Schizosaccharomyces pombe: one gene and its partner. Changing the gene in region 1 together with any one later gene gives a genetic interaction. Each region holds a gene or a part of one and is shown in the gene's direction. Other genes may lie near its edges. The genes, in order: SPOM_SPBC15C4.06C and hop1.

Region 1 (18,255 bases):
ACCTTAAATTTTACACAAATAATGTTTATCCTATATTGTGTTCCGTTGAATAATGTTCCATTGCTTTTCTGTGCATCAAAGCAGCAATGTCTTTCGATGATTTACTTTTACCTTTATCAACCGAACCACCCTGCTTTCTTGGCTTTGAAGAATTTGCACCAGATATTTTGCCCGGCGCTTCTCGCAAAGCGAAGGACTTAGCAATATGTCCCAAATGAAGGTCACGCATGTTAAAAATACTTCTTTCTGATGAAAGATGTGTTGCATAAGCCCTCACATAAGAAGTAAAAGCCCTTTTTGCAATATTCCTCATAGGTTCATTTTCTAATATAAAACGCTCCAATTCCAACTGCCATTCTGTTGCACGATCTTGCCAATCATTGGTGTTTGTTTTACCTTGCGAAAAACCAGCACTCAACAACCCAGATGGACCATTAGGCTGCTCCAATATATTAGCGCTAACTGAAGACTTTAACAAATTAATATATTCACTTTCCTTCGGGAGTAAAAACATAATAGCTGCACCATTGTGTCCAGCCCTAGCTGTTCTGCCAATTCTATGCAAATAATCGTCGGTACTAAACGGAGCATCATACTGCACAACCAAATCAACATTTGGCAGATCAAGACCACGGGCTGCCACATCTGTACACAAAAGTATATGTGAACCAGAATCTTCACTTGAAGAAAAAAGATTCAGCGTCGAAGTCCTGATTTGTTGAGACAAGGAACCGTGTAATCGGTATACATTTGATTTGCCATCTATTCTCAGAGCTGGAGCATTTGAAATGATATCACCCTCAGAGTCCGGTTTCTCTTTCACGGCCTCTTCCATTTCATCAGCGTTTATCGCACATCTAAAAGCTTCAAAGTGAAAATCAACACTATCTGAACAAGAAAGAAAAATTATTATTTTCTTATATGATCTAACATGACTTCGCAATAGGGCAACCAAGCTTACAAGCCTCAGTTTTGGAGGAACAACAACATATCTTTGAAGAAGCTGCTCGGGTGCCTGGCTATAACCGTCATTGGTTTCCTCCACAATAGATGATTTTAAGTACAAAGCATCTTTTAAAGCGGAATCACTTAAACGCTTTACGGTATCTTTCATTGTAGCGGAGCAAAGCATTGTAACCTTACGAGAAGGAATACTGAGATCCTTCTTAATAATACTGCTTTGTGATTCCAAATAAGATAAAATTTTAGTCAAAGTTTCTTCAAACCCCATATCCATCAACCTATCACCTTCATCCAAAACGACCCATCGTACTTGACTAACATCCAGTGCTTCCGTATTTTCTAAATGATCCGCCAAACGACCAGGCGTTCCAATTAAAATATTAACACCCTTTCGTATGCGAGCCTTTTCACTTTTTTTCTTCTCACCACCTATCACATTACAGGAGACAATCCAGTGTGATAACGGATTATTGTTGAGCTTGTTAGCAACGTTATAAATTTGTTGGCATAACTCCCGGGTTGGAGCCATAATCACAGCATATATACCGCTAGTACGGGTGTGTAAGTTTTTAGGAAGTCGAATCAATCGTTGCACAATTGGTAGTAAATAAGCCAAAGTTTTACCCGATCCGGTTTGTGCTTCAATGAACGCATCCTTATCATCTGTGTTTAGCAATGCTGGAAGACAACAGCTTTGGATAGCAGTGGGAGCGCTAATGTTCATTTTATTATTTAAATGATCAGCCAGTTGAGTATCTAATTGAACACCAGCAAAGTTGGTAGTTTTAATAGGTGCGTTGGATGCCTCCTTTGTAGTCCCAATATTACTAATTTGATTATCCTCAAGATTTTGACCAACGTCCTGTGAAAAATGCTCAGAATCATCACCCGTAAACAAAGATGTAACAAAAGTATTATCGCGCTTGTTGCCTTTTAGCTCATGAGCTGGTTTTCTAGGATCAAACACAGGATTTATTACTTTTTCCTTTTGTGAATTTTTATAATCAGTGGAAGCACCATTTGTGCCTGAATTTCTTTTAACGGTTGATTTTGATGATTCATTAGAATTGCGTTTTTGCCTTTTTCTATCTCTAGCGCGATCAGTCCAGCGACGACTAGACTTCAAGGCTTCAGGCTTTCTTGATTGAGCATTATCAACAACAAAATTGAGAAGCAATGGTTCGTCCGCCATTTGCTTACAGTTGATGAAAATTTGAAAACTTGTGCTTCCACCGTGCTTAGTTTAGTTAATTGTACTCCATTACGCTATGCTATACTAGACCGCGTTAAATACTTGAGACGCATTCAAGTATTCTTCCAAAAGGTCATTTATTACCTTTTTACAGCTATAGGTGATTTAAGTAATATTAAACCTAGAGAAGCACTGTTAAAAACATAAATTACTCCTTCAGTCGGACTTTATTGACCTAATTTGTATTTAAAAATATTAATAGATACTTTGCGTATAAGAATAACAATAAGCGCAATATATATGTTTCTTTATAAGATAATATGCTTCAGGAGGAAATACCGCGCTCATGCACATCTATAAATAACTTTAACATCGAAATTCTTATACGTGTTAAAATGTTTAGTCGAAACTCGTTATTTGTATCCGTATTGACTGTAACGTACATTAACAGTTCGCGTCTGCCATGATGTTTTACGTTTTCACTGGAACGGCATCGGCAGCAGATTTCAATTTAGTGGAAGCTACCAGCTTTTGTTGGCAGATACACGAATTACACGTATAGGACCATTACGTTGTATCTTTTAATGGTTACCTTTCAATTAATCCTTCAAAGTCGCTCCTAACCTCAATTGACCAGCAGTTTGTTGGTTGAATGGACTGTCACTCGTTTTAATCAATTTCTTACTTTGATCCTTTAATTTTTCTTCCTCAAAAGCTCTGCTTTACTAATCGAATAATTAAGAAGGCCTTTTACTCGTTTGGCTGATATATTTTCGTGATGCAGTTGTGTATCATTTCTCTCTGGTTCTTAGCTGCGTTCATCGTCAATGCCGATAATGTTCAGTTTGAGGATTATGAAAGCAATTTTTTCTTCAAGGAACATCTCGGAACATTAAGTCCTTATCATGAGCCCTACTTTGATGGTCTTGATTCTGCTTTCCCTGAAACCTGTGAGATCCAACAAGTTCATCTTCTTCAACGTCACGGTTCCAGAAACCCAACGGGCGATGTAACTGCCACTGATGTATATAGTTCACAATATTTAAATAATTTTCAGGAAAAGCTTTTAAACGGCTCAATACCCGTAAACTTCAGCTACCCCGAGAATCCCTTATGTTTTATTAAGCAGTGGACTCCTGTAATAGATGCAGAAAATGCCGATCAACTTTCCAGCCGTGGTCGTCTCGAACTTTTCGACTTGGGTCGTCAGCTATACCAGCGTTACTATAAACTTTTTGATTCATACGTTTACGACATAAATACGGCTGAACAGGAACGTGTTGTTGAATCTGCAAAATGGTTTACTTATGGATTATTTGGTGATAAAATGTACGAAAAAACCAATTTTATCCTTATTTCTGAAGGTAAGGCAGCAGGTGCCAACTCCTTATCCATGTACAACGCATGTCCCGTGTTTAAAGATAATAACTTTCATAAAAATGCAACTGATGCTGCCCATGCTGTATGGCGCAATATTTTTATTGAGCCCATTGTGAATCGTTTGGCTAAATATTTTGACAGCAGTTATAAACTTACGATCAATGACGTTCGTAGTCTCTTTTATATCTGCGAATATGAAATTGCTATAAAAGATCACAGTGATTTTTGTTCCATATTTACCCCATCAGAATTTTTGAACTTTGAATATGACTCAGATCTCGATCAGGCATATGGAGGTGGTCCTGTTTCCGAATGGGCTTCAACCTTAGGTGGGGCCTATATAAATAATCTTGCAGACTCACTTCGTAATGTGACTAATCCCGACTTCGATCGTAAAGTATTTTTAGCATTTACTCATGATTCTAATATCATTCCTGTGGAAGCTGCTTTGGGATTCTTTCCTGACATTACTCCGCAAAATCCTTTGCCGACTGATAAAAACATTTATACATACTCCCAGAAAACTTCTTCATTCGTTCCCTTCGCTGGAAATTTAATTACTGAGTTGTTCTTTTGTTCTGACAGCAAATATTATGTACGGCATCTCGTCAACCAGCAAGTTTATCCCCTTATCGATTGTGGGTATGGACCTAGTGGAACTTCTGATGGACTTTGCGAGTTACAGGCTTATTTGAATTCACCGATTCGGGCAAATTCTACCTCTAATGGTATTTCCATTTTCAACACAGAATGTCAAGCGCGTCCTACCAACGTTACCATTTACTTTTGAACTATCAGCGCTATAATGTTTAAATAAACAGAATGGATCCTTTGAATAGGATAAACTATAATTTATTATAATCAATTTATTTAATTTTGGGTAATATTAGACTTAATTAAAAGAGGAATACCAAGTACTTTCCTTCCTACAATCAAAACAAGATGTTTGCTTGTAGGAACTGATAATCTTCCTTTGCCAGATGAAGGCAGTGATTTTTCTTGAGAAGTCTGTATTTGTTTAAGGTTTCAAGCATTACATTATTTGAAAGAGTACTGGTAACTGTAATTATATTAATTTTTACTTTATATACAATGCATATTATAATTAGAAGCATGTTAGGTTCTGACATACTATGAGGCAGCTGTCGACCGCGTAATTGACACTTTCAGAAGTGCTTTTCAAAATGCAGATAGTAGCATAACGAAGAAAACATTTACTACATCAATGTTGAATGAGAGTATCAGTGTAAAACAAATTCAGCAAGTGATAGCGAGAAAATAGTAACTATGATACATATGATAAATTTTATAAAATATAAAGATAAATAATCCCTCATATGAAAACTACTGCTGAAATGGATCGATATGAGAAAATGTTTTGAAATTATGATCATCAACAATGCCACGCCAAACCGAATGTGCTATCTTCAAAATACATAATAATTTCAAAAAAGTGTAAAAGGTTAGAATTAACAACAATTAGTAAACAAAAATTTTATAGGAAAATGAGATTTCAGAAACAAAGTTCCACTAATGCATTAAGTAAGGGTCTCACACAAGTGGCCTTAGTGGGATAAAAAGTCTTTAACGGAAGAAATCGGGCCTTTTCAAATTAATTCCATATTCATTAAGAGCGGCACTTAAGTCATCTACAGTGAGCACGGTTTTTCCACGGTCACCTCTTCTTCCGCTAGATCCAATCCCGGAAGCGCCTCCGGCTCCAAAATTCTGCGCACCAAACGTAGTTGAAGATGCATTGCTACTACCGGTTCGGATTTTAGAATATTGATAGGCGTCTTGAGCAACATCAGAAATAAATTTTTGAGCTGTAAGACCAAGAAGCTTTTTTAAGCGTGGGTCAACACATTTAAATCCAGATAAACTGAGGTAATAATCCAATAACACATCTGGAATTAAGGGAGAGTAATCATCCATTTGGGCCAAGAAATTTTCAAGTGTTTTGTCTTTGGCCATATCTCGCAATTCTAAATGCGGTTCTATAACATAATTCGAGCCATGCCTTTCTCTAGAATCATCGCTTTTGGGAGAATCCTCGTTATTTAAATGTGCAGGGGATTCTACACTCATTGGGGCGAGATTGTCACCAGTTGGCAGATTTGTGGAAGACGTTTCGGGTTGTTCATCAACACTCATCGAATTATTTCCATCTTCTGGTTCTTGCTTGGGCTGTTCAATATTTTCAGCTGGCTCATTATTGTTAATGTCACTCATTCTTTCTTTATTTGACCGATGTTGTAAAGCAAAGAATGTCTTTCTGCAACTTGATTCAAATCCGTGGTTCCTTGATTTATCGTTCGACTTATTGGAAATAATAGGAAATTTATTTCCCTAGCTTATGGACTTAACTTTTAATACTTTAATCCAGTGTTTCAAGAAACCACTAGGCCAACTAAAATAGGGATGGTGGAGGTGGACTATATTCTGTATTCGTGGTAAAGTAGCATTGTTATTTACGTATATAAGGGCTAAGATCGAAAAGTAAATAATTCCAATTCTTGGAATAATGCTAGTTGAATAATAGAAATTAATATATAAGATTAATTAACTTCTGGTAAAAAGTGTTGTTTAAAATCGGTATTATATAGAGTTCGGAGCGAAGTTGGTATCTACTACAATTTTTGCTTCTATAAGCAAATGTTCAGTTTAGAGTTGAATGGCAGCCTTCTTGGACTTGAACATATGTATTCAAAAGTAATTATTATTCTCAAACTACAATGTTATTCATTTGCTGAGATGAGCATTTTAAAGTTTGCGCAAACATGACTTCCAGTTAATATGTGTTTAAAACAAATAAAAAAATTTACTACGCAAAGAAAGGATATTTGAGATTAATTTGGTGCACATTTTTTATTTCTCATAACAAACTACATAATCCATTTCCCCATACTTTACCAATAATGTATTGCTAAGCCAGATCAAAGCTACATTAGATATCACTACTAATTATTGTTATTTTCATTTCAAAACTGTCGGATCCATACTACTGATCTTTAATGATCAGGACGAGTAAAACATCTTTAGGAAAATACAATTATTGAAGAAATATCTCAACCGAACAAACTACCCTTTCCTAGTTCAGTTGTAAGTTAATACAGTAAAATATAAAATTATATAGTATATTATATCTTAGCCTTCTTAAACAAATATGTAACCGCTGTACTAAACGAACTCCATAAAATTATACTAAATTACGAGGTAGCATATCACAATAATTATATCCTTATACTAGTTTACAAAGTATACTCAAACAACATTAAATCCTATAACGTATTCCTAGTAAATTGCTTCTTATGTTTAAGGAGGATATCTTATTGTTTAATTGATCGCTAAGCGATCCTTTTTTTATTTATTTATTATAGTTCTCTCTGATCATTAATTCTCCAGCTATGCTTACCTTTTTGAAGTATCACTTCTTCGTTTTTTTATTTCTTATAATTACCATTTATTATTATTTAGTTTCTCACACCTGTTTAAAGCGCTTGTCGAATCACCAAACACAAATAAGCTGTTTTATTTCACGATTGTTTTTCTCGCCCTGCACTTTATGCTTTGTTTGTTTCATAGTTTTTCCTTCATTAAAAAACTTCTTCACTGAAGTATACTGCTCATAGTGAAAATATAATAACAATTGCTTTCCACATGTATATCACATGTATTGTGTACTATGTACGCAATATGTCTCAAGATGTTCATTACTTAGCCACCACCAATTTGTGGTTTTCAAGCTTGAGCTAGTATAAGTTAAAAGAATCACACTTTTTACTTTCTAATTTTTTGAAATTTCCTTTAAAAAATTTCATTAATTGTGTTCCACAATTCCTGCTTTAGAGATATCACCACTCAACGTCTGTTTATTGATTGAAAGCTTACCTTTCAATTACCATTAAATTTGATTCATTATTTAGAAAGATTGGTATCAAAGCAGGTTTGTTTTTTGGTAATCTTGAAACCTCCTGTTTCCTAGTTCTTTGTGTTTCTTCGTGCCTTAAAGTTTGTTTAGGTTCTTATGCATCTGTGTAATAACCAGTTGCTTGATCATCTGGATTGCAATGCAGTTTACAGAGGCTATGTTTCACAAGAGAATAAGGTAAAGAGGAGAAAGCGGCTGTTTAATGCAATTCGTAAACTATGGAATGAAAGAAGGCGATATCGAATGCCAAAGGACGAAAGTATCTCGCCAACTCCAATCTCTTATTCATTTAGATCATTAAGAAGAGGCCATACTAGTGGGCATGCTAGTGAACACACTTCTTCTTCAAGATCTAGTCATGATGAATCAGATTCTATGTCCAGTTCTAGTGAATCAGACTCGGATTCTGTTTCCAGTGAATCAAATCCCAAATCTTATTCAGATTCTAGTACTAGTTCTGCAAGGTCGTCCTCTACTTCTGGTTCAATCTCCTTGTATGATGATTATTACCCTGCTTATTCCAGCAATGCTCCAAATACTGCAATATCTAATTATGTTAGCTCTGGTCTTTCATATTACGGAAATTCATCTATTATTATGAATGCTGTCGAATACAATCAGTTCTTTCCGCTAACCATAACTACTCTTATTGTTAAAAACAACAAGAATGTTGTTTCAAATCTTCCAAAAAATGTCTCATTTTACTTCCACTCTGACAACACGGTCCTTTTGAATGAGTATTACAAAAGCTTGTCTAAACTGAAGAATAATTTTCGTGGAATTATATATAAAACTACTCCTTATGGTAGCTGCAATGACACCGAGTCACTTCAAGTTGATACCAAGGGAAGCGTATGGTTTAGAGATGTTTCTAATATGGGAAGTTCTGGCTTAATCGCATTCGCGCCGTTTGACTATTGTGCTCCAATGCATGTATTGCAGGCTGTCCAGGATAGAGCAAAGGCAATACTATTTTATAATGCAAGCACTGCTAGTAATTCATTAACCAATTTTGACCACTTTGAAGATGCTGTAGATATGATTACCTTTGAAACATTACCAATGGCACTCATATCTTACGAAAACGGCATCGCTTTTGAAAAGATTCTCAACGAATACTCGGCTTCTTCTTTAAATTCGGTGCAGGATGGTGGAGCATTAGTCGAATATTTTGGAAACATTGATGCTACGGCCCGTTTGGGCGTTATCATCAGCAAGGAACCAAAGCTACTTGGCCTCTATATATTCATTGGTGTGTTATTGGGTTTAATCGGTGTCATAGGCCTTTTTATTTGCCTTCACTTTTCTGGTGCAATGAATGGATTTTATAGACTCTTAAATCGTCATGGAATTCCTGTTCAAGAAAGAATTGTGAATATTGGACCAAACAAACCAGAAAATCGTGTTACTAAAGAAATGCTCGATACTTTGCCCGTTAGAATGTTTTCGGGGCCTCATCTTGCCAATCCTAATGATGAGTTGGTTTATGAAAAGGATTGGAAATTAGACAAATCAGAAAGTTTTGATGGACAGGGAAATGTGGTTACTACAGCCGAAAGAGGGAGTAAGTATTTCGATCAGAGGGAGTGTACTATTTGCTTGTGTGAGTATTCAGAAGAAAGTCCTCTTTATCGAGAACTGCCATGCCATCACATCTTTCATCCGGCTTGCATTGATCCTTATTTATTAAAAAATTCGGATCTTTGTCCCCTATGTAAACAGTCAGTTACAAACATGTTGGAAAATGCTTCCGAGGACAATGTTTAAACTGCATATTTATGAATTTTCTCCATTGGTTGAGTAATTCCTGTACTTCTACTCATAAGGATAATTTTTTTTATAATCTATATTAGCATATTTTGTTCGACTCTCATTCATTTACGTTATAATATTTTGCTTGTCTTTATACGCATACGCATACTCATACTTATTGTTCAGTTCTTCCTACGACGAAGAAAACTTACGCTTCCTTAAGTTCATAATTTTCTTGCATCTTTTAATGGGCTAATTATCTATTTCTCATCGTTCTAATCTATTATTTGTGTTATCGTATGAATTCTATAGTACTATATAAAAGCTTACTATACATGTCATTGTTTACTATAAAAAGTTTAATACACATGTTGCTTGCTAGTTTATGATGAAGGTACAAAAAAACTATTAAGTATTTTACAAATTAGCCGGTCTAATGCTAAATTGCATATGTAAATATTTTTTTCTTTTCATTTAGAGACCTATTTTGATATTCTAAGAAAACGATATACAGTTATAATAATTGACATTTTTGGATTTGAGAAAATTAAATACTCTGAATTGTGTCTCATAAAATAGAAAAGCCATCAGTTTCTGCAATGAAGCCTTAGATAACTCCATTTTACACATTTATGCTCAACCAACATAATTCTTACATTTTCCAAATGGAAAGAAAATTTGCCTGTCATTAAGCAGATATGTGAAAACCAACTTTCTGATATTTCATTTTTGATACTTTCATTAATCTTTGAGACGTTTCTGAAATTTGGTTCCGTAATTTAACCGTGAAACTATGTTAACAATAACCTCAAGATGGGAATTCAATAAGCGTTTATCAGGTTCAGCAAAAAATTCGTTTAGAGAAGTTTCAATAAAGCGACGTAAAATACTTAAAGATGCCGAAACGTAAACATTTTCAAAATATACTGTAAAGTTGTCAAGCTTTGCTTGTCCAACTGATACTCTATTTTCGACTTTAAGGCCGCACATCATTAGAAGCTGGCGAAGAGTAACCATAGTAGTTTCATTAACATACTCACTAGCTCGAGTGGAAGACATCATGTTCGTGTAAGCAACGAATTTGGACGGCATGTTAGGTAACTCAGACCTATTATTCACCGATACATCTAAAATTCTAACACGCTTGTTGGTACTCAAGGTTGACCACTGTCTTTTTTCGTAATCATACCTTAAAATGTTTGGATACAGAGATGCAGCAATTACGCCACACAGAATTTCTGCATTTCCTGAGTTAATATCATGCTCTTTGGGGATAACGGCAAAACGCCGGCATATTGAACGTTTTAGGCTTTTGCAAGTATCAACATCCGAAGCGCCTAAAAGTTTCATATCCTTCAACTCAGAAAGCAGTTGGATTTTTAGTGATTCTGTCATACTTAAAGCCTCTAAATTTAAGTACTTTTCTTTGGCAAAAGAATCTTCATCAGGGCCTAAAGGTGAAAGGCAAATCTCTCGCCAAGCGCAGTAAGCATAATACATCAAAACTAAATCACTCCTGGTATTCTCCTTAGCGAATGATAATCGGGCTTTGTTTGCAGAAAATTCATTGTCAACAGATTTCCTAAAAGGTGAACCGATTGTTAACATGGCTACTATTGAAGAAGCGGCATCTACACATTTGTAGAAGCATCCCAAAACCAAGATTTTTCCTAAATTTGCATCAACAGGTAATTGCGACAAAAATTTGCCGAGTTTTGTTAATTTTTCGTTTTCAGAGAGCGCTCCCACTTGATGAAGCTTTTCTAAAGCACGAATAATATTGGTAGAGGAAGGTGGATCTAACGCCTTGCCTAAGACATCTTGTACATCACCCATTTGGCACATCTTTACTCGCAAAACAACTTCTTGCAGATTAAGTCTCAGAATTTCAGGTGTCTGGTAAGACAAAAATTGGGTATCATGTTTGAATTTTGAGAACAAATGATAGCAGATACCTTCCTGAACACGACCAGCACGTCCACTACGTTGCTTGGCATTGGCCTTAGATACAAATGTATCAGTTAACCGAGAAAGATGTCTTCTACTATTATAACGCATTTCCCTATGTACTCCTGTATCAATCACACAAGTGACATCTGGAATAGTAACACCAGTTTCAGCGATATTTGTCGACAATACAATCTTGCGGCACCCTTTGGGAGGGATGTTAAAAACGGACTGTTGCTGCGCAGAGGATAGTGTAGAGTGTAGCATGTATATACAGAACTTACGATGATTTCGAAACATAGGCATATCTTCGATAAGAGATTTTACACGAAGGATCTCCGAAATACCAGGTAAGAATACTAATACACACTTACTGAATTTCGGATCTCCTTCAGTGAATATATACTTTAAGAGATAAACGATTAAACCATAGTTAATGGCTTTCTCGTTATACCAAGCTGGAATTAGGTTCATTTCAACAATGGCATCCTCCGCAGATTTGTTTGAGATGCTCGCATCTTGTTGGTCGGTTTCATAGTCATCTTCCTCTATAACATCCTGTCCGGCAGCGTTACCGAACGACTTATCATTTCCAAACTGGGAAAGTATATCTTCTAAATAAAATCTATGCACTGGATATGTTTTACCAGGTATTGTGATTAAATTACTTCCTTCAAAGTATAACTGAAACTTTTCGGCGTTTAAAGTTGCACTCATAATTATAATCTTAAGATGAGGATGTTGTTTAAGTAAATGAAGTACATGAATTAAAAGAAGATCCGAGTCAATGCTGCGCTCATGAACTTCATCAATAATCAGATGAGTCACAGACTCTATTTCGTTTCCAACTTCTAGGAGACGCAGAAATGTACCTGTAGTAACATAAGTTAAAGGTGTTAAAGGCGTACATTTGGAATCCAGACGAACAGAATAACCAACAAGCTCATGCGAACGAGCTGAAGGAGGATTGCCGCCAAGTTCCTGAGAAACACGATTAGCTAACGATATGGCACTGATCCTTCGAGGTTCTGTAACATAAATTTTGACTGCTTTTCCATTTTTTGTAGAATTTTCCAACAGAAAAGCAGGAATTTGCGTACTTTTACCGCAACCTGTGTCTCCTGATATAATTAAGAGTTGACTATTATTGACAGCATCAATAATTGTCTCTCTAAACATCGTAGCTGGCAACTGATTACGGAAAACCTTAAATTTTTCGGCTGATTCACTTTCAAGTTGTTGTCGCCATTTGTTTAGTAAAGTCTCAGGTGGCCTTTCAAATCCAGAAAACTTGCCAATATTATCCATAGGGGCCATGAGTTTAGAAGTGGTAGCGCTTGTTGGGGTCTCCAATTCTTTGCTCTTTATAATGGAATCCAACTTCTCGGAAATCTTTGCATCTTCTGCTAAGTCAGTGTTTTGTTTTTCTGCAGAAAACTTTCCATAAACCTCTTTAAACGATTTTGGAAACGTTTGTAACGAAATTTTAGTAAAATTGGCCATTAATCTAAATAAAACTATCATTGAAATATAATCTGCAGCCAATGTGGCAGTAGGCAAAACAGTTTTCAGGTCGGAAAAAGTCTTCTGGCCGGTAGAACATCTAACAAAACAGGTGGACTGATATCCTATTTTGCCGATTGGCATAGTTTTGAACTCTGCTTTAATGTTTGATCCGATTTTGTGAAGCTCATATTGCAACGTAGTACTTGGACGTGTTCCAGATTTATCGGTAGTTAAAGGAAGAAGTGTGTAGTTTGCATTAAGTAAATCATTTTCAGTATCCTGAATGTCTTCTTCTTCTTGATTAAATAAATCTCCCATAAGGTAAGCATCGTCATCCGCTCTAGTTTCTGCATCGTTGTGTGGTGACATATCATTGCTTTCAGAATTATTATCATCATCTTTACTGGAGTCATCAGTGCTTTGAGAATCTTCTTGGATGCCATTTTTTTTTATTTCTTCTACAATTCTCTCGTTTTCTAATTTTTGTTGGAGAGCTTTTAACTTGTTCATAAACTCGATTCTGCTTTTACGAAACACAATTTCTGCCTCTTTAGACGAAAAAAGATATTGGCTAGTAATGCTTTCTAGTTGCAAATTCAGTGTACTAAATTCTTCTGAATTTTTTTTATTGGCAATTTGTAGTCGTAACATTTTCAGCTTAACTTTAACATATTGAGAAGTCAAGTCAAAAGGATCATCAAATGGAATGTCATCTTCAGGCAATTGGGTAAGTACCTCTGACATTGTGAGTGGCTTTGAATCCTTAGATTTCAATGAATCATCGACTTGATTAGAGGGCTGAGTTTCTTTATTAGGTGTGTGCTTTATATCGTTAGAAAAATCCTTCATTAATGGGACAAGTCTACTATTTGATTGAACCGGATTATTGGCAGGTAACGGTTCATCGAGCATCCTACAAAAAGTAGTGTAATTACTAGGTTGCACTTCGTAAGAAAAAGATGAATTAGAAGGTTCAGAATTGATTAAATTCTCTGTTATCATCCAAGTGATATATTCATCTATCGAAACTATAGGGATAGATGAGAAGGCGCCAAATATTTCTGATTCTTCAAACCCCATACCTTTAAGTGAAAGAAATGTAGTCCAAAGATACCGTTTCCTCAGAGAAAAACTGGATCGATTTGAGAAAGCATAACTTTCTTTTAGAGAAGATTTCCAAGAGTCCCGAAATGTTTTCAAAATTTGTTGAATTTCATCTTCGGTCAAGCCAAGGACGTTGTCATTTTTACGAAGTCTTATATCCGTTTGCCAAGAATGTAAAAATGACTTTGAGTTTGATAAAGAGGTATTTTTTATGACTTCAGTTTCGGCATCAATAGTTGGAAGCGTTTTGTCTAGTAGGAGATGGTCAAATGCATCAACGGTGTCAACCCCTATATCATTTGATTGATTCTCAACTTTGAAAGCATTTTTGGGCTCAACCTTTTGGGTTTTATTATTTTTCTCTCCTTTAACCTGATTTTTATTTGCCGGAGAGGAGGCACTTCGAGATGGAATGGATGTAGTGGCATACCCACGAGCAGAGTTCGAAGCTTTTGATTTTTTTTTAGCCATTATTTAGAACAAAAACGGTTTTTAAATCGGTCTTTAAAACAAAAAAATCAGAGTCTAATAGAAAATGTTCACAGTTCGTGGTTAAAATATTCTTCACAGGTTAGAATAACAATGAGCCAAAAAAGTAATAATAATAACAGTTAAAATAAAACTATATTGGACATCGAAAATTATTTACTCTTGAAAAGAAAAGAGTTTTAAACCAGAAACAAGGAATGATAAATTTTCATTTAATAAAAATATAATACAAAGCGATCAGATGGTTTAGAAATAAGCTGATTTATCAGGTTTTTGCTTTTTTTTTTCTGTCCAACAAATAATATCCACGAATAAATAGTAATAGGGAATCGCTGAGTACAATATTTTGTAATATTCTCTTGTGGGTTGTAGAGAGAAAGTGTATATATAACTGGATACCAATATACTCAATATATAATTAAATTTCGAAGTATTGGGGAAAAGAAAAATAAAAAAAAGAGATTAAATTAATTATTAAAGTATCTTATACAACCAATAATCAAGATTAAAATTGAATTATGGGCTGCAATCCATAAAAAGGCTATATGTAAGTTACGAATGGGTAAAGTATGAAAGAACGGCATTAAAGCAAATACATTTAAACAGGTTCTCTAACGTTGTTAGTGAAGTACCGATTTATTAAAAATTTGATTTCATATTCCTCCGAGGACTACATATACATGGCATTTTTTACCGCCTGTTATTTTCCAAAACTAGTTAAGCTTTTTCCAAAAAAATATTTCCCAATGGTAAATGAAAATCCCGACTCAGTCGCCTATACTGTTCAAATTTAGTACTTTTTTCTAGGGCAATACAATCCGTAAAACTAGCTTCCCTAAACTCCTGTGTTAGAGTAAACTCAATGTTTAGCTATTACAACATAATTAGATAGTACAGCTTGAATTATTGTTTATACATGCTTAAATTTTTAGTACCATTGAACATTGGGATTGTTGCCAGAGTGCTTATTTGAGATGTATTATAATAATATTATTTTAAATAATTTCAGCGTTCTCATTTGATCGTTAAAATTTAAGCTTATTTAAGCGGCTTTTGACAATTTATTGAGTAATTTGAAAGTCTTTGAAATATACATAGATATATTCATAAATATTTGATGATCTTTCAAAAATGTATAGATTTTTTTGAAGAATAGTAATAGAAAAGCTTCCGTAAATACTTAATGTATGAATATTTGGACTTCAAGGTTTTTGCTGGGTATAAAATTTACATGGAGCGCCTTCAAAACTGATATTACTTCATGATGCCAGCGAATATTATAAAAATAATTGCAAATTAATACATATTGTTCCATTAGGATAATCATTTCCAACGAACTATAGAAAAGGACACTTCAGCGAAATGTGATGCTTTTGGCTTCTCTTTTTTTATCAAAGAAGTGTTTGTGGTTGTACTCAATTTAAAGCTTTTAAAGGACCAAACTTGTCAATGCTGCCCAAACACTTTTCAAACCTATTTAAACAAAATTTCACACTATCACATGTATTTTTATATACTTAGTTTTTCAAAAATTCCAGTTGTTCTGTTCCACCTCCAAATCAAATATGCTCAACGTAATATTAACTTCCAACAACTTTTTTCAACAATCGTGAACGATTCTTCGTAGGCCAAAGTTGTCTAAAAAGTTAAAATTTAAAGAGATAGAGTCCGAGTTATGCATCTGTAGCGAATATCTGGTACCCGAGAGAAACAAAAAATGGTTTAGCAGACTAATTGGCATAACTAGTTAGGTATTTCATTAATGCAAATGTGTTGCCAAAACAATGAATAATTGAAGTGTTTGCCTACGCATTCTACGAAGCAGATAACAAACTAAAGAATCTTGCTAAAAGAGTATATAAAAAATTTGTTGATAATTCGCGCACGTGGTAGCCAAAATTGCTTTAACGACAGATAGAAAAATCTCATGCCAGTCTCCGCCAATATTTTCACCTTGAAATAAAAAGTCTCATATATAGGTCAATTTGAGATATAGCGATTATTTCAGAAGAGATTTTTTCTTTTTAGAGCAAATTTCTTTTTCTTTAAATCAATTTGGAGTCGTCCAAAGGGTGAAATTGAAAGTCGTATATAATCTCTTCTTTTGCGAAGAAACTTTGACTTTTTACATTTTTGTTTGTTTGTTTTGTTTTTCGGTTTTTTAGTAAAAAAAGGTGAAAAAGGAAAATACGTCGAATTTTTGATAAGCATATTTGAACGTTAAAGTGGATAAATAAATTATAGTATGGATTCGGTTTCTAACGTAAGCGTTAATGAACAAGGAAAGTTCAATGACAAGGAAGAAGGTTTTAGTAATTTAAAATCCTTAAAACATGTTTCCCATTCTGAAACCGATTTCGAAGTCAGCAACGATGAAGACAACCAACTTCTTGAATTGGGCTACAAACCTGTCTTTAAAAGAGAATTTTCTACCTGGGCCACTTTTTCTTTTGCTTTTTCAATTTCTGGGCTTTTCGCTACTGTCGTCACAACATATTCATATCCCTTGATTTCAGGAGGTGCTCCATCAGCTGTTTGGTGTTGGTTAATTGCTGGTGCTGGTTGTATGTGTATCGCTCTATCCGTTGCCGAGCTAGTTTCTGCTTACCCAACATCCGGTGGTTTATATTTTACTTGCAAGGACCTAGTTCCTGCCAGATCAATGCCCGTTGTCGCCTGGGTCGTCGGTTGGTTGAACTTGTTGGGCCAAGCAGCTGGTGTCAGTAGTACAGATTGGTCTTGTGCTCAATTGCTGTTAGCTGCTGTATCCATATCTACAGATTTGAAATACATCCCTACCAATCAACATATTGTAGGGGTTATGGCTGCTGTAATTGTCTTCCATGGCCTCGTCAATTCCCTCTCTACTCGTTGGCTAGACAGGATTACTCGTTTTTATGCCACCTTTCACTTGATCGTCCTTGTCGTGTGTATGATTTGTTTATTGGCCAAATGTCCAAAGTTCAACACTGGCAAATATGTTTTTACCGACGTGCAGGCAAGCAGTGGGTGGCATCCTATTGGCTTTTCTTTCCTTTTTGGATTCCTTAGTGTTGCTTGGTGTATGACTGATTACGATGCTACGGCACACATTGCTGAAGAAATTGAAAACGCCGCTGTTCGCGCCCCCAACGCAATTGCTCTTGCTCTCTCTATAACTTATGTATTGGGTTGGGTTTTCAATATTGTTTTAGCCTTCACCATGGGTACTGATCTCGATAGTTTGATCAATTCTGAACTAGGTCAACCTGTTGCCCAGATTTTCTACAACGTGTTGGGCAAGAAAGGAAGTATGGCATTTACTATATTATCTTTTATTATTATTAATTTTACTGGAATTACTGCTATGCAAGCCAACGCTCGAACTATATGGGCATTCTCTCGTGATCAAGCCTTACCATTCTCTCGTTACTGGTACAAGATTAACAAAACAACCACTACCCCTGTTATCGCTGTTTGGCTTAACGTTGTCTTTTGTATTGCATTAAATCTCATTGGTCTTGGAAGTATCGAAGCTATTGAAGCAATCTTCAGTGTTTGTGCAATTGCATTGGATTGGAGTTATGTGATTCCTATTGCGTGTAAGCTTATTTTTGGTAAACGATTAAACTATAAGCCTGGCCCATGGAATTTAGGATGGGCCTCACATTTTGTCAATGCCTACGCTGTTTGTTGGACCGCATTCGTATCTGTCATTTTCTTGATGCCTACAGTCCGCCCGGTCACTCCACAAAACATGAACTATGCCGTTGTCGTTCTTGCCGGCGTACTTTTGTTTAGTTTGGTATATTGGTGGTCCGGTGCTAGGAAGTCCTATATTGGTCCTCGTATTAACGTCGATATGGAATCTGAGGATCCATTCAAAACTGAGTAATTATAAATCTGCAAAGATTTCTTATTACCCTAAGCTTCGTCTAAAAATTACTCTTGTTGTTATTCTTAAAAGACATAACTTTTAAGTTAATTACAATTTTTGTTGCAGATCTACTGA
Region 2 (12,156 bases), 1.2 Mb from region 1:
GGAAAAGTTGGTCACGAGTCTTTAGCCGCGAAATTAGCTGAGGCTGGATACGGTTTCGAGGTTGATCCTAATACCCCATACGCTGAGGTATGCAAAAGGCTTGGTTAATTCTATACTAATTGAATTTTCTATACAGTTGTGGATGGGTTCTCATCCTTCTGGCCCTTCCTTTGTTATGCAAACTGGTAAGCCGTTGAGTGAGTTGTTAACTCCAGAAACCGTTGGAGAAAAAGTGTACAAGAAATATGGGAAACAACTCCCCTTTTTATTCAAAGTTTTATCGATAAATAAGGTGCTGTCTATTCAGGCTCATCCTGACAAACCCCTTGGTAAACAACTTCACAAAACGAATCCGAAAGAGTACAAGGACGATAATCATAAGCCAGAAATGGCAGTTGCATTGACAGAATTCGACGCTCTTTGTGGTTTTCGACCAGTAAAGCAAATCGAACAGTTCCTTGACAGTATAGCTCCTTTGCGTGAATTTGTCGGTGAAGAAGCTGTTCGTCAATTTAAAGGTACCGTGAAGCAAGACGAGAGAAAAGCATTGGAAACTTTATTTAATGAGTTAATGCACAAAGACGAAAAAAGGATTCAAGAATTTACTCCTCAGCTTGTTCAACTAGCAAAAAGTGATGCTAACAACTTTGGTGGAACGGAATACGGCGGAAAAGCATTTAGCGATTTAATTATTCATCTCAATAGTCAATTTCCGGATGACATCGGATTATTTGTTACTCCTTTTCTTAACTACGTTCGATTACATCCAGGAGAAGCCGTTTTTCTTCGTGCCTTAGATCCACATGCTTATGTTTCTGGAAATATAATTGAGTGCATGGCTGCCAGTGATAACGTTATCCGTCTTGGCTTTACGCCAAAGTTTAAGGACATAGAAACTCTCGTAAATAATCTCACTTATCAGACTGCGGATGCCAAATCCCAACTTACCCAACCTGTACCATTTGCCAAAGCTTGTGGATCTGGCAAAACTCTGTTATATGATCCCCCGATCGAAGAGTTTAGCATTTTGCAAACCAAGGTTTCTCCTGGTCAAAAACAATGCATACGCGGAATCAATGGCCCTAGCATTTTACTTGTTACTGAGGGTTCAGGCATATTGAATGGAGACAAAGGAGATGTAGCATCGATATCTCCTGGATTTGTTTATTTTATTTCCGCAAATTTTCCATTAACGATCTCTGCGACTTCAGAACCTGTTGTCGTTTACCAGGCATTCTGTGAGATTTAGTTACTCTGCAGCTTTTTACTACTATCAGCACCATTATAATAAAACAATACATGGAATTTTTAAATTTTTAACGATACTGGATAGGATGGACAAAATTAAGTAAAAACAAATTTATTTTTTCGTAGATGCAATGCATAAATAATGAGCGTTTTTAAGAAATGTAACAAAATGTAGAGAAGAAATATAGACAAAAAAATGAAATGAAGAAGATGAACCCCAAAAATAAAATAAAAAATGAATCCAGAAGAAAAATGAAAAAAATGAAAAAAATAAAAAAAATGAAACCAGAAAAAAAATGCGAAAACTAATCAACAACGAAATAAAGCATAAAAATGGGAATGACAAAAGTAAAACGAATGCAAAAATAATTCTAATAAACAAATTTTTTTGACCAAGCATCCACTTTTAACACGCAATTTAGTACAACTCAAAGTAGGCATTGCCTCCGGTGACAGAGACTGTACAACCACTGCTGTCAGCGGTGGAACCATGGAATGATCCGTCTTCATAGTAGCAATCACCACTAAGGGACCCACCATCAGATTTAATACGGATATTGTAATCAAGTTTAGCAGATGATAAAGGATTGAAAGACATAGAAAGCCAAGTCTTGCCGTCAGTGTAACCAGACCCGAAGTTCATAGGAGCCCAATTGCCATAATCATCGCCCTCATTACCCCAAACACAGACATCTTCTGCACTTCTGCCAGATTTATTAACATAGTATTGAGCGGATGTCTTCTTTCCTCCCCAATTATAGTATGAATCTTCATCAACATCAGAAAGAGGTTGTTTTGAACCACCATCAATATTGGTAGGGATATTCATGTTCTCAGTTCCGGGGTAATCGGTACGGCAAATTGCGACATTGGAACTCAATGTATTTTTAACATAGGCAGTACCCTTTCCATCTTCACAAAGATTAGAATTATCCTTCTGGGTGAGATATAATTTACCGTTCTTGCAATACAAACCACCAACGGAAACGCCATTGTCAGGCTGCTCAGACGGCCATTGGGTCTTAGACATTCCGGGCTTGCATGCATAGGAACAGTATGTGTTATCTTGGCATGTAGAAGCTGTTCCGTATTTACCATCATTCTTCTGAACACCAGACCATCCTCCAAAACCTAAGTAATCAAGGCGGACAACGCCATTTTGATCATCAGGAAAAGAGGAGCAGTCGTATACGCCGTCAGGAAAACCACCGTCTCTTTTTGAAAAAGCGGTAGTGTTTGTGACATTGACACCAACAGTTATATTGCTAGCATTCAAACCGGCATGATGGTGATGGTGATAGGGAGCATTACCAAGAGGCATAGCTGAAACCAAAGGAATGGCGGAAACCGCAAAACAAAGAAAGTTGTTAAAGAGCATTTTTAGATTTAAAAGATTTGACAGGAATCTAACGATTGACTTTATAAACGATAGGATATGCTAGTAACTTGATACTAGAAAATAAAAGAAAGATGGTAAAGAATATAATGGTCTTTACCTTTTGCGGTTCTGATTGTTTAATTTCAGCTCACGGCTTTTCCCTAAAAATCAGCTCAGCTTTATATACATTTCTTTTTTCAAGCACTTCACCATCTTTTGATTAAGAGCCGTGGCGTTTTGCCACTAATTAACCATGAAAGCCTGTAAGTTTTCAACGTTGATTTTTTCAGAAAATTTCTAACCATAAACCCGAAATAATTAGCGCCAAAACAGTCAACTATTGCGCTCCAATCATTGCTTGCCTTGCTATCGGCTTTGTATTCATTGGCTGATAACTTAATTAAAAATGAACTTAAAAGTCAGTTGATAAATTCAACCAATTAAATGCGTGAATTTGATCTACCCCAGGAAAATTTATACTGTCCCGGGGTCGCGGGGCGTTCAATCATTCATTTCAAAGCAAATTATTATTATTTCCAAGCCAAGTAATTTAATTTTTGTTTATCGCTTTAGCTTTCTTATCATAAGGAAGTTCTTGGTCCCCTGGGCCTTTTGCAATTGAATTGCGCGGTGTACGTAAGCCTAATGACATCCCTGTATACCTAACTTACAAATACGTTGGCTCGACTCAACGTTATATTGATTTTCTCCTAATACTATTAAATATATTTAATAATCTCTTGGGAAAGTAATCTGGTACATACAAATCATCCTAGATATAAGAGGCTCGGTGCATTTCGGCAAATGATGTTCTGCAGCTCATTAAATATGATATAATATTAATTAATTAATATCGTGTTTACACTCGGTTTATCGGTTTGCTATGCTAAGAACTTTTACGGATAACAATTTAATTATTTATCTTGGTAGCGTATTTGACGCTTCTTTGGATACTGAGATTAAGTCAAATTTTGAATGGAGAGAAGTCGAATAATAGCCCAATGCCTGCCGAAATTACCCGATGCATGTCATTGACGAGACAAAAAATTTCTTTCAACGGCCTAAGAAAATGATGTACTAGAAACGCCATCTTAGTCTGACATTTTACATTTTACGCTCATGCTCAAATTTTATTAATAAATTATTATATGTGTCCGTGTCATTTAGAATATGACAGGGGAGGGTAATCTCTTTCCCAACTTTATTGGCGTGTAATGAAATTCGCGAGCTACTATTGTGTCTGCATTCTTTAGCTGCAAAAACGCAACGGAAAAGACAATTTTATAATATGAATACTTCACGTGTTCATTGTTTTTGTCTTTAGAGAATTTATTTGAAAATGCTGAGGAGGTTAATATCTGGTATACAATTAAAACACTATCGCAAATAATGTAAAAAAAAATAATATTGAGGAGCCATAACTAAGTCATATAACTTTTCTTATTGAACTATTGTTATGTCGCGATTTAGTCGTATTTACCATAAACTATAAAAACTTTTCTTAATCAACAGTAAAATTGTTACTTATTCTGGTGTTACTTACACCTCCGCTTGCGTAGAGTGAATTTAAAATTCATTGCCAAGAGTTTATGGTCTTTACGATCTATCTCGCTGAACTTCAAAAAAACCAAGAAAAAGTATTGCTCTAATGCATTAAGACGATAACTATTTGCAAAATAATTTCATATACATGTTTCCCAACGGGCAGTTGTTTTAAGTAAATTCATCAGTATCGATTCTTGAACCAGGTTCTCTAACATCATAAAAGAACTTGACAAATACTTTTCTACTAAGTGTCTGTAAACTACTTGAAATGAATGAGAAGAAAAAAGATAGCCTATCTGTTTTAGATTCCAATGAATTTTTCGGTGAGACAACTATGGTATCACCGAGTATTGATGTTTCCTCTTCTCCCCGGCCAAATGTCGAGAGATTTTCTCCATGTTCCACTAAAAAAGATCTCCTGGAAGGAAATAATATAATGACCAGAATTCCCGAGGAGCTTAGTCGTGTTAGTCTACAATTTGATAGCAAGGGAAGTCAGCAATCGATGATATTTACTAACAATCGATGTTTATCTGATAAAGAAAATTTGGAAAACTTGCAAAATCTTTTATATCTACATTGTGATCTTAACCGGCCCCATTTGAGTTGTGAGCTGCCGTCAGAGCATCGCGAAAAGTGCCTTAAACGCCGTAACTCTAGTCTCAGCTCTAATTTGCATGCTAATAAGCGGTTTCTCTTCAATTCTCAAAGTGATGGGAATAAAAAGAATGAAACTTTTCCTTCTACTAACTACTCGAACGTTTTCTACCCAAACAACTGTGACAGTAAGGAAGTCGCTAGTGAAACAACATTCTCACTTGATGCACCAAATAATTCTGTTAATTACTCTTATTTTTCTCCTAATTTACTCGGCAACGATTCCAAAACCCGTCAATCTTTTCCCCCTCATTCATCTTCATCTTCACATAATTCTTTGCATGAACCTGTCATATATGATTTTTCTTCAGAAAATCCTAGCATTCATCCTTCTAATCATTTGAGCTCTCAAAAAAATGCTGTTTTGAAATTAGCACAATTAATTTCTTCCTTCGAAAAATTACCCGAAAGTGTTCGTCAATACTTACTTTTTCATCTTCTTTCTCGATGTGGAAAACATGCTGTTCAAAATATTCACAAAATTCTGCTTCCTATCTTTCAAAAGAACTTTTTAACTGGATTTCCGGCTGAGATTACAAATTTAGTGCTTACGCATTTAGATGCACCTTCATTGTGTGCAGTTTCGCAAGTTTCGCATCACTGGTATAAGTTGGTATCGTCCAACGAAGAACTTTGGAAAAGTCTCTTTTTAAAAGATGGTTTCTTTTGGGATTCAATTGATAGTAAAATCCGTACGATGTGTTTAGAACAATCTTTGTCAGCCTGTGCGATAATGAAGCGGGTCTATTTTAGACATTTTAATCTTCGTGAAAGATGGCTCCATGCCCCGGAGAAAATTAAGCGATGTTCATTCCCAATTCATGGAGTTCGTCTTATTACCAAACTTCAGTTTGATGATGACAAAATAATTGTTAGCACCTGCAGTCCTAGAATTAATATATATGACACGAAAACAGGTGTCCTGATACGCAGTTTAGAAGAGCATGAAGGTGATGTTTGGACTTTTGAATACGTTGGGGATACTTTGGTTACTGGCTCCACAGACAGGACAGTAAGAGTCTGGGACCTTAGAACCGGTGAATGTAAACAGGTGTTTTATGGACACACGTCAACAATCCGTTGTATCAAAATAGTTCAAGGCAATCAAAGTACTACTGATACTGATGATGTGGAAAAAGAAAACAGACCAGCTTCAAATGATGCTAATTCAATGCCTCCGTATATAATTTCAAGTTCAAGGGATTGTACGATCCGTTTATGGAGTCTTCCATGCCTTGACGATCCACCATTTGTTAATGTAAATGAAAATCCTGATCAGAATAATGACTTTACTTCAGCTACGACCAATCCGTTTTACATCCGAACATTACGTGGTCATACGGACTCGGTACGTGAAGTTGCTTGTCTTGGAGATTTGATTGTCAGTGCCAGTTATGATGGTACTCTTAGAGTATGGAAGGCATCTACTGGCGTTTGTTTACATGTTCTTCGGGGACACGTCGGGAGAGTATACAGTGTCACAATTAATCCTTCTCGTCAACAATGTATCAGCGCTGGTACGGATGCTAAAATTCGTATTTGGAACCTTGAGTCTGGAGAACTTCTACAGACCCTTCATGGTCATTCGAATTTGGTAAGTCAAGTTACATTTAACCAAAATATCTTGGTATCCGCTTCTGCTCCTCCTGATACATCGTTGAGAGTTTGGGATCTAAACACCGGAAGTTGTCGAGATATTTTAAAATGTCCTTTGGGACACATATTTTTTCAACACGACGAGAGCAAAGTTGTCAGTGGAAGCCATAGTACGCTACAGTTATGGGACATTCGTTCCGGAAAGTTAGTAAGAGACCTATTGACTGATTTGGATATAATCTGGCAAGTTGCTTATAATGAAAATGTATGTGTGGCTGCTGTTTTAAGAAATAACCGTTTTTGGATCGAGGTCCTAGAGTTTGGATCTACTAAATCTTCTTGAGCTTTTATAAGTTGAGATACTAGAAATCTATAAAAGATCTCGAAATTTTATTTTACGTTTCCAAACTGAAATAGATTCATGCTATTTATTCTGGAAACTCCTCTATCATATAATATTTGTCTAATTGTTTGTTGACTTTTAAATGTTTACTCATAATTTTCTTTTTTAAATATCTAATAAGAATGCAAAATAATATTTTTTTAAATGATCTATTCTACATTTATAAATTATTTAGTGTTAAATTCGTTTGTTGAGGCCAAAATTTTTTTACCAAAGGGATAAGCGAATTTCTTGAATCCTTAGCTTCAAATAGCGTCCATTCTACCCAAAAGCGTACTATATTTTTATAATTAGCAAACTATAGTAAATAAAAAAACAAACATTTTAGCTTTGTAAATGTAAAAAGACATTTAATTTAACAAAAGGCTTTTACATTACTTCATAAGCTACCAAATGTCTTCATCGTAAAACATGCTTTTCGCATTCCATTTATCTATGTAAGCCATTTTAGTGTAGTTTAAAGTGTTGGAAAACCACAGGTGGGACTGTAATATACGTACACTTAAGACGCGTTCGACGCGTTCACAAAATTACCATATATAGATATCAACTTATCAAATACCCTTTACTTCTAAGTATAAATGACAAATGAATTCATACAAAGAGGAAATTCTGCAAACTAAGTCTGACTTTACTCTTAAAAATTTAATTTTCTTCGCGATATCAACATTATGCTATAAGCGGTACGCAGACATATAATTTTTAAATTAAAATAGCTAACAGAAGGCAAGTGCTCTTTTCAATGAAAACTGCTACAAGAAAGTCAATTTCGAAATTGAACATTTTAAAGGAGCTGACTTTGATTGTCAATTGAAACCTACTGTGGTTTCTTTACAAGCTGGAGTGGACAAAGAAGCAGACAGTTTTTTGGAAATGATGGTGAGTGTTTAAAACTTATCTAAAGAAATAAACTAATATTTTAGAAAACTTATATTTTCTCACTTGTATCAATGAAAGTTCCATTTACTGTTTACCTGATTATTTCGTCACAATGCAAGTCAATATTAGAGGATGACGCGGTTGAAAAGGAGATATTTTCATTTACAATTAACCCTGGAAGTGAAGAGAAAATATGTTGTGAGTCTTTTGTTTGTAAATTTTTTAACAGACTTCATGAGAGTTTTATCAAGCTTATCAACGTTCAGAAAGGTTTGTAATAAAGTTATTTTTAAGTGGTAACGTAAAAACAGAGTGCAAAGACGAAGAAAAAGTCGTACAAATTATTACAAAAATGGAACGCTTTCAATTATCAAAAGGAGAAGCAACTAAAGCTGGCGTGTTTTTAAATACCGTAGAAACAAAAGATTGCATGTCTTGGCTCAATCGAGGAGAATTCAAAGATATTGTATCTTTTTATGAATCAAACAATGGGTAAGTAAATTAAAACAAATTTCAAGTTACTAATCTATAGTATTGCGATTTCACATTGTTCTCATGCATTTGTACCGATAAGTACAGAGAAGATCATGATTAATAAAGAATCATCATTATTTGATTCTCAAGAAAAAATTGATTCTCAGCTCGAAAAGTTCCTCCAGCCTTTGAAATACGATGAAATAGGCTCAACTCAAATATTGGATGAACAATCAGTTGAAAAAAGTTTGAGTCAAGGAAAATGTGAGAAAATGCAGAATGAAAGTCGTGGATTAAGGGAAATAAAAAATAACAATCCTTGTGAAGAAGTAAAGAAAAGCAATTGGTTAAAAAAAAACATTTCAGGGAGTGACAAAGTTGACAAAGCCGAAAAGAAAAAAGCACTTTTGAATTGTGAATGCGGTGATTCGACGGAAGACTCAGAAATGGTGTGTAATCGTTTATACCTGCTAAAGACTAACAATATTTTACACAGTTTCAATGCGAAAGATGTGATGGATGGGTTCACTGTGCTTGCTATGGATTTGAGAGTGACTCTGATCCTCGCCAACCAAACCAATTGTTATGTTATACATGTTTGTTAGTTGATTCTGAATCTAGTTTGTATGACCGAATGACCATGTTGGTCGCATACAGACGAGCAATTCGGTGTATTTGGGCGTCAGAGTATCAAGGGTTCCAAAAGCTAGCGGCGCGACTGAGTAAGGAAATTTACCAACTCATTGACCATATACTAACATTATCTAAGATTGCAGCTATGCTGATGCCAAAAGAATTGAAGAAAGATTAGTTAACGAAAACATAATCTATAAGGAAAAAAAACGAAAATGGATATATTTTACGAATAAAAGCCCTGAAATGGTGTCATATCTTCGTGAGAAGTATTTTACACCGTCGCGATGGATATCTCATCTGAATTTTCAAAATTATCGTCAAGAGAATCAACGTGTAAATATGCGATCTTTTCTACGGCCCGAAAGAATGGAAGTAATAGAAAGACCAAAAAAGGTTTCTAAGACTTCAAACACTAAAGAGACAGACACCATGAAACCTCTGAGGATTTAAACTTATACGACTTATCCTATCTTCAAACAATTTGAGATGGATCAGTATTGCATCTATTTGCTCAAACTATTAATTTAAACTTACATAATATATTTATTATTAGCTATACTACATTATTACCATAAATAACATGTTCTGTTATCATCCGTTAGATATGAGACAATATTCATACAAACTCATTTTCTTGTCGTAGATAACTATGCTTACGACATTATAAATAGGCGGTAATTGAAATGAGGAATGAGGTTCAGTTATGAGCTTATACGAACATGAGATATGAATATAGACTTCATACAAGAATCATGCATACCACTATAAACTAGATCACAAGTAAATTTTATCGCAGTTCTACGCAGCGCTAAACGAATACGAAATTGCGTAGCTAATTTAAGCACTTCTTGAATTGCATTATGTGTGAATAGTGTGGTGATTTGATGTCAAAAAAAAAAAGTATAGAACGTTACACATTAGACTTGAACTTTTCCATTTGATACTGAAGTTACATTATTGCTGTGTTCGTGAGAACTTTGCATTATTCAGGAGAATTTTCGTTTTAAACATGGCGACAGAATGTCCACCTAAAATGATTTTGCGAAAGTCTGAAAAGCTAGACAAAGACGCGTCTAGTAAATTTCTCAATCGCTACATCCAAACGATTGAGCGCTTCCAAGATGAAAAATCTGGAAGTGAGAGTGTTCTATCCCAGTTAAATAGAGTCTTGATGTACCTGAAAGGAGAAGAGATACCGCTTATTTCTTTAAATTTACCTGTCCAAGGCCCTCCCACAGAGGAATTAATAATACCACCTGAAGAAATGTTGGAAACCAAGGAAGAGGAAAGTCTGAAACATGCAAGGGAAGAGAACGATGATTTGCATTTGGATAAAGAAACCAAAAAGCGTCTAAAAAAGGAAAAAAAGAAGGCTGCGAGACGGGAAAAGGAAGAGGCTCGTAAGGCCAAAGCGGATACGACTCAAGGTGTAGGGGAAAAAGAACAGAGTTAGAGTAAATTTAAAGGTGTGTTGATTATTTGTGGTTCAGTTATTTTGTTCGATTTCTAAAACATCATATGAGCTTTCGAATATAGTTTGCGCTTCATTAAAAAAATTGGGTTTTTTGGCTGCGATTATTTATTAAATCTTTTAAACGTGAGAGAAAAAATCCTAAGGTTTTTTTTGATCATGTGTTTGAGGACAACTACAATGCAACTTTTTTACTCGCAGTACTTGAGTTTGCATATTTTGTAAGTCCTTATCCATTCATTCTCAGTTGCAAGTATCAGATTATGCTTAAAGATTTTAAATTCATCATTAAATTCTTGTTTATCCCATAGTTTAATTGATTTTTTTTTTAATATAGGCTTTATTGTCGAAATTGTTGTCACAAATAATTGTTAAATAACAATTTAACAAAGATCATGGCGAGATCAATTACTAAACTCAATCTTTCAAATCAATACTCTGTGAATCCTAATATACTATTTCTTTCACATCACATCTTTAATGTTTCTACTAATACTGATTTATGTCGATTGATATTAACATGTATATCTTAGTGACTTATAACTATCTAATGAAACAACGCGTTGCCTTATACAACTTCAGCGTACTATATAGTGAGACCTACTTTTTTACGTAGACCTTATTAGAATTACCCAGGAGGCCCCTCCCAAACACTCACGATTATTTTACTAGTATCGTTTAATCTTACTTGAAACCCTGAAGACGGGTTCGTTCACTCAATTATAATGCAACATACCTTTATTTATGATACGTGCTTATGGATTTTATCAAGTAAGTTACTTATCATTTAGTTACAACCGGAACGCTAATTAATGAACCCCAGTTTTAATCGATTTCTTTTTCCGTGAAGTTAAAACGCGAGGCTCTTTTAGAGTTCCTCGCAAGGGACCTCTAATTTTAGTGGCCGCGCCGCATGCGAACCAATTCGTAGATCCTTTGATTTTGATGTTACAACTTCGTAGAGAAGTAGGTAGGAGGACTTCCATTTTGGTTGCTGCTAAAAGTTATCGTCAAAGATTTATTGGCCTCATGTCGAGAGCTTTTGGTGCAATTCCTGTCGAAAGGGCGCAAGATTTAGCTATTCGCGGAGAAGGAAAGATATTTGTCGTAGCTGAAGGTGATAAGACTGCTATTCACGGAAAAGATACTCTGTTTACAAAGCATTCAGTCGGTGATACTCTCCTTCTTCCTAATAATTATGGAAGTTCTCATATAGCATCCATTAAAAGTGATACCTTATTATATGTTAAACGTGAGTTTCGTGGAGAAGATGCTGAGAGAGTTTTGCTTTCTCCCGAAGGGTCGTCTTACAAGGTGGCTCCTGAGATTGATCAAACATATGTTTATAATGAAGTCCGTAGACGTCTGGTGAAGGGTGCATGCATTGCTCTATTCCCTGAAGGTGGATCTCACGATCGTCCTGAAATGCTACCGCTTAAAGCTGGCGTTGCAATTATGGCGTTGGAAACTCTTTCTCAGCATCCGGATTGTGGTCTTCAGCTTCTTCCCTGTGGAATGAATTATTTCCACCCCCATCGCTTTCGCTCACGTGCTGTGCTAGAGTTTGGCTCCCCACTGTCTATCCCTACGGAATATGTTGAGCTTTACAAAGCAAAGAAACGTCGCGAAGCTATTCAAGGAGTACTAGATATGATATATGATGCTCTTCTTTCTGTTACTGTTCAGGCGCCGGATTATGAAACTTTAATGGTCATTCAAGCTTGCCGACGTTTATATAAGCCAGCTCATATACAGTTTGCTCTCCCTAAAGTCGTTGATTTAAATAGGAAGTTAATTGTTGGCTATAACCATTTTAAACATGATCCCAGAGTAATTCGTCTCCACGATAAAATCCTTTTGTATAATCGT

Evidence for each region.
Region 2: mutations in SPOM_SPBC15C4.06C (region 1) and hop1 together harm fitness more than expected from each alone (negative genetic interaction), as found in Schizosaccharomyces pombe (2 studies listed by BioGRID).

What each region holds. Positions count from the first base shown.
Region 1 is NC_003423.3:2,242,714-2,260,968, reverse strand, and holds SPOM_SPBC15C4.06C (ubiquitin-protein ligase E3), read left to right. Parts: upstream 1-7,258; 5' UTR 7,259-7,562; coding exon 7,563-9,233; 3' UTR 9,234-9,558; downstream 9,559-18,255. Other genes in the region: ATP-dependent RNA helicase Dbp7, read right to left, coding at 26-2,155; SPOM_SPBC21H7.03C (multiple inositol polyphosphate phosphatase), read left to right, coding at 2,934-4,325; SAGA complex/transcription factor TFIID complex subunit Taf10, read right to left, coding at 5,120-5,767; dhx29 (ATP-dependent RNA/DNA helicase), read right to left, coding at 9,960-14,246; SPOM_SPBC15C4.04C (amino-acid permease), read left to right, coding at 16,510-18,138.
Region 2 is NC_003423.3:3,464,904-3,477,059, forward strand, and holds hop1 (synaptonemal complex-associated protein hop1), read left to right. Parts: upstream 1-7,415; coding exon 7,416-7,510; exon of another isoform or gene 7,511-7,558; coding exon 7,559-7,706; exon of another isoform or gene 7,707-7,750; coding exon 7,751-7,919; exon of another isoform or gene 7,920-7,957; coding exon 7,958-8,198; exon of another isoform or gene 8,199-8,238; coding exon 8,239-8,629; exon of another isoform or gene 8,630-8,676; coding exon 8,677-8,902; exon of another isoform or gene 8,903-8,949; coding exon 8,950-9,266; downstream 9,267-12,156. Other genes in the region: mpi1 (mannose-6-phosphate isomerase), read left to right, coding at 1-87, 137-1,249; beta-glucosidase Psu2, read right to left, coding at 1,667-2,626; cullin 1 adaptor protein Pop1, read left to right, coding at 4,440-6,767; DNA-directed RNA polymerase I complex subunit Ker1, read left to right, coding at 9,826-10,269; sct1 (glycerol-3-phosphate O-acyltransferase), read left to right, coding at 11,013-11,058, 11,111-12,156. UniProt on the Schizosaccharomyces pombe protein: Facilitates initiation of meiotic recombination and DNA double-strand break (DSB) formation at DSB hotspot sites by enhancing the interaction between rec10 and rec15.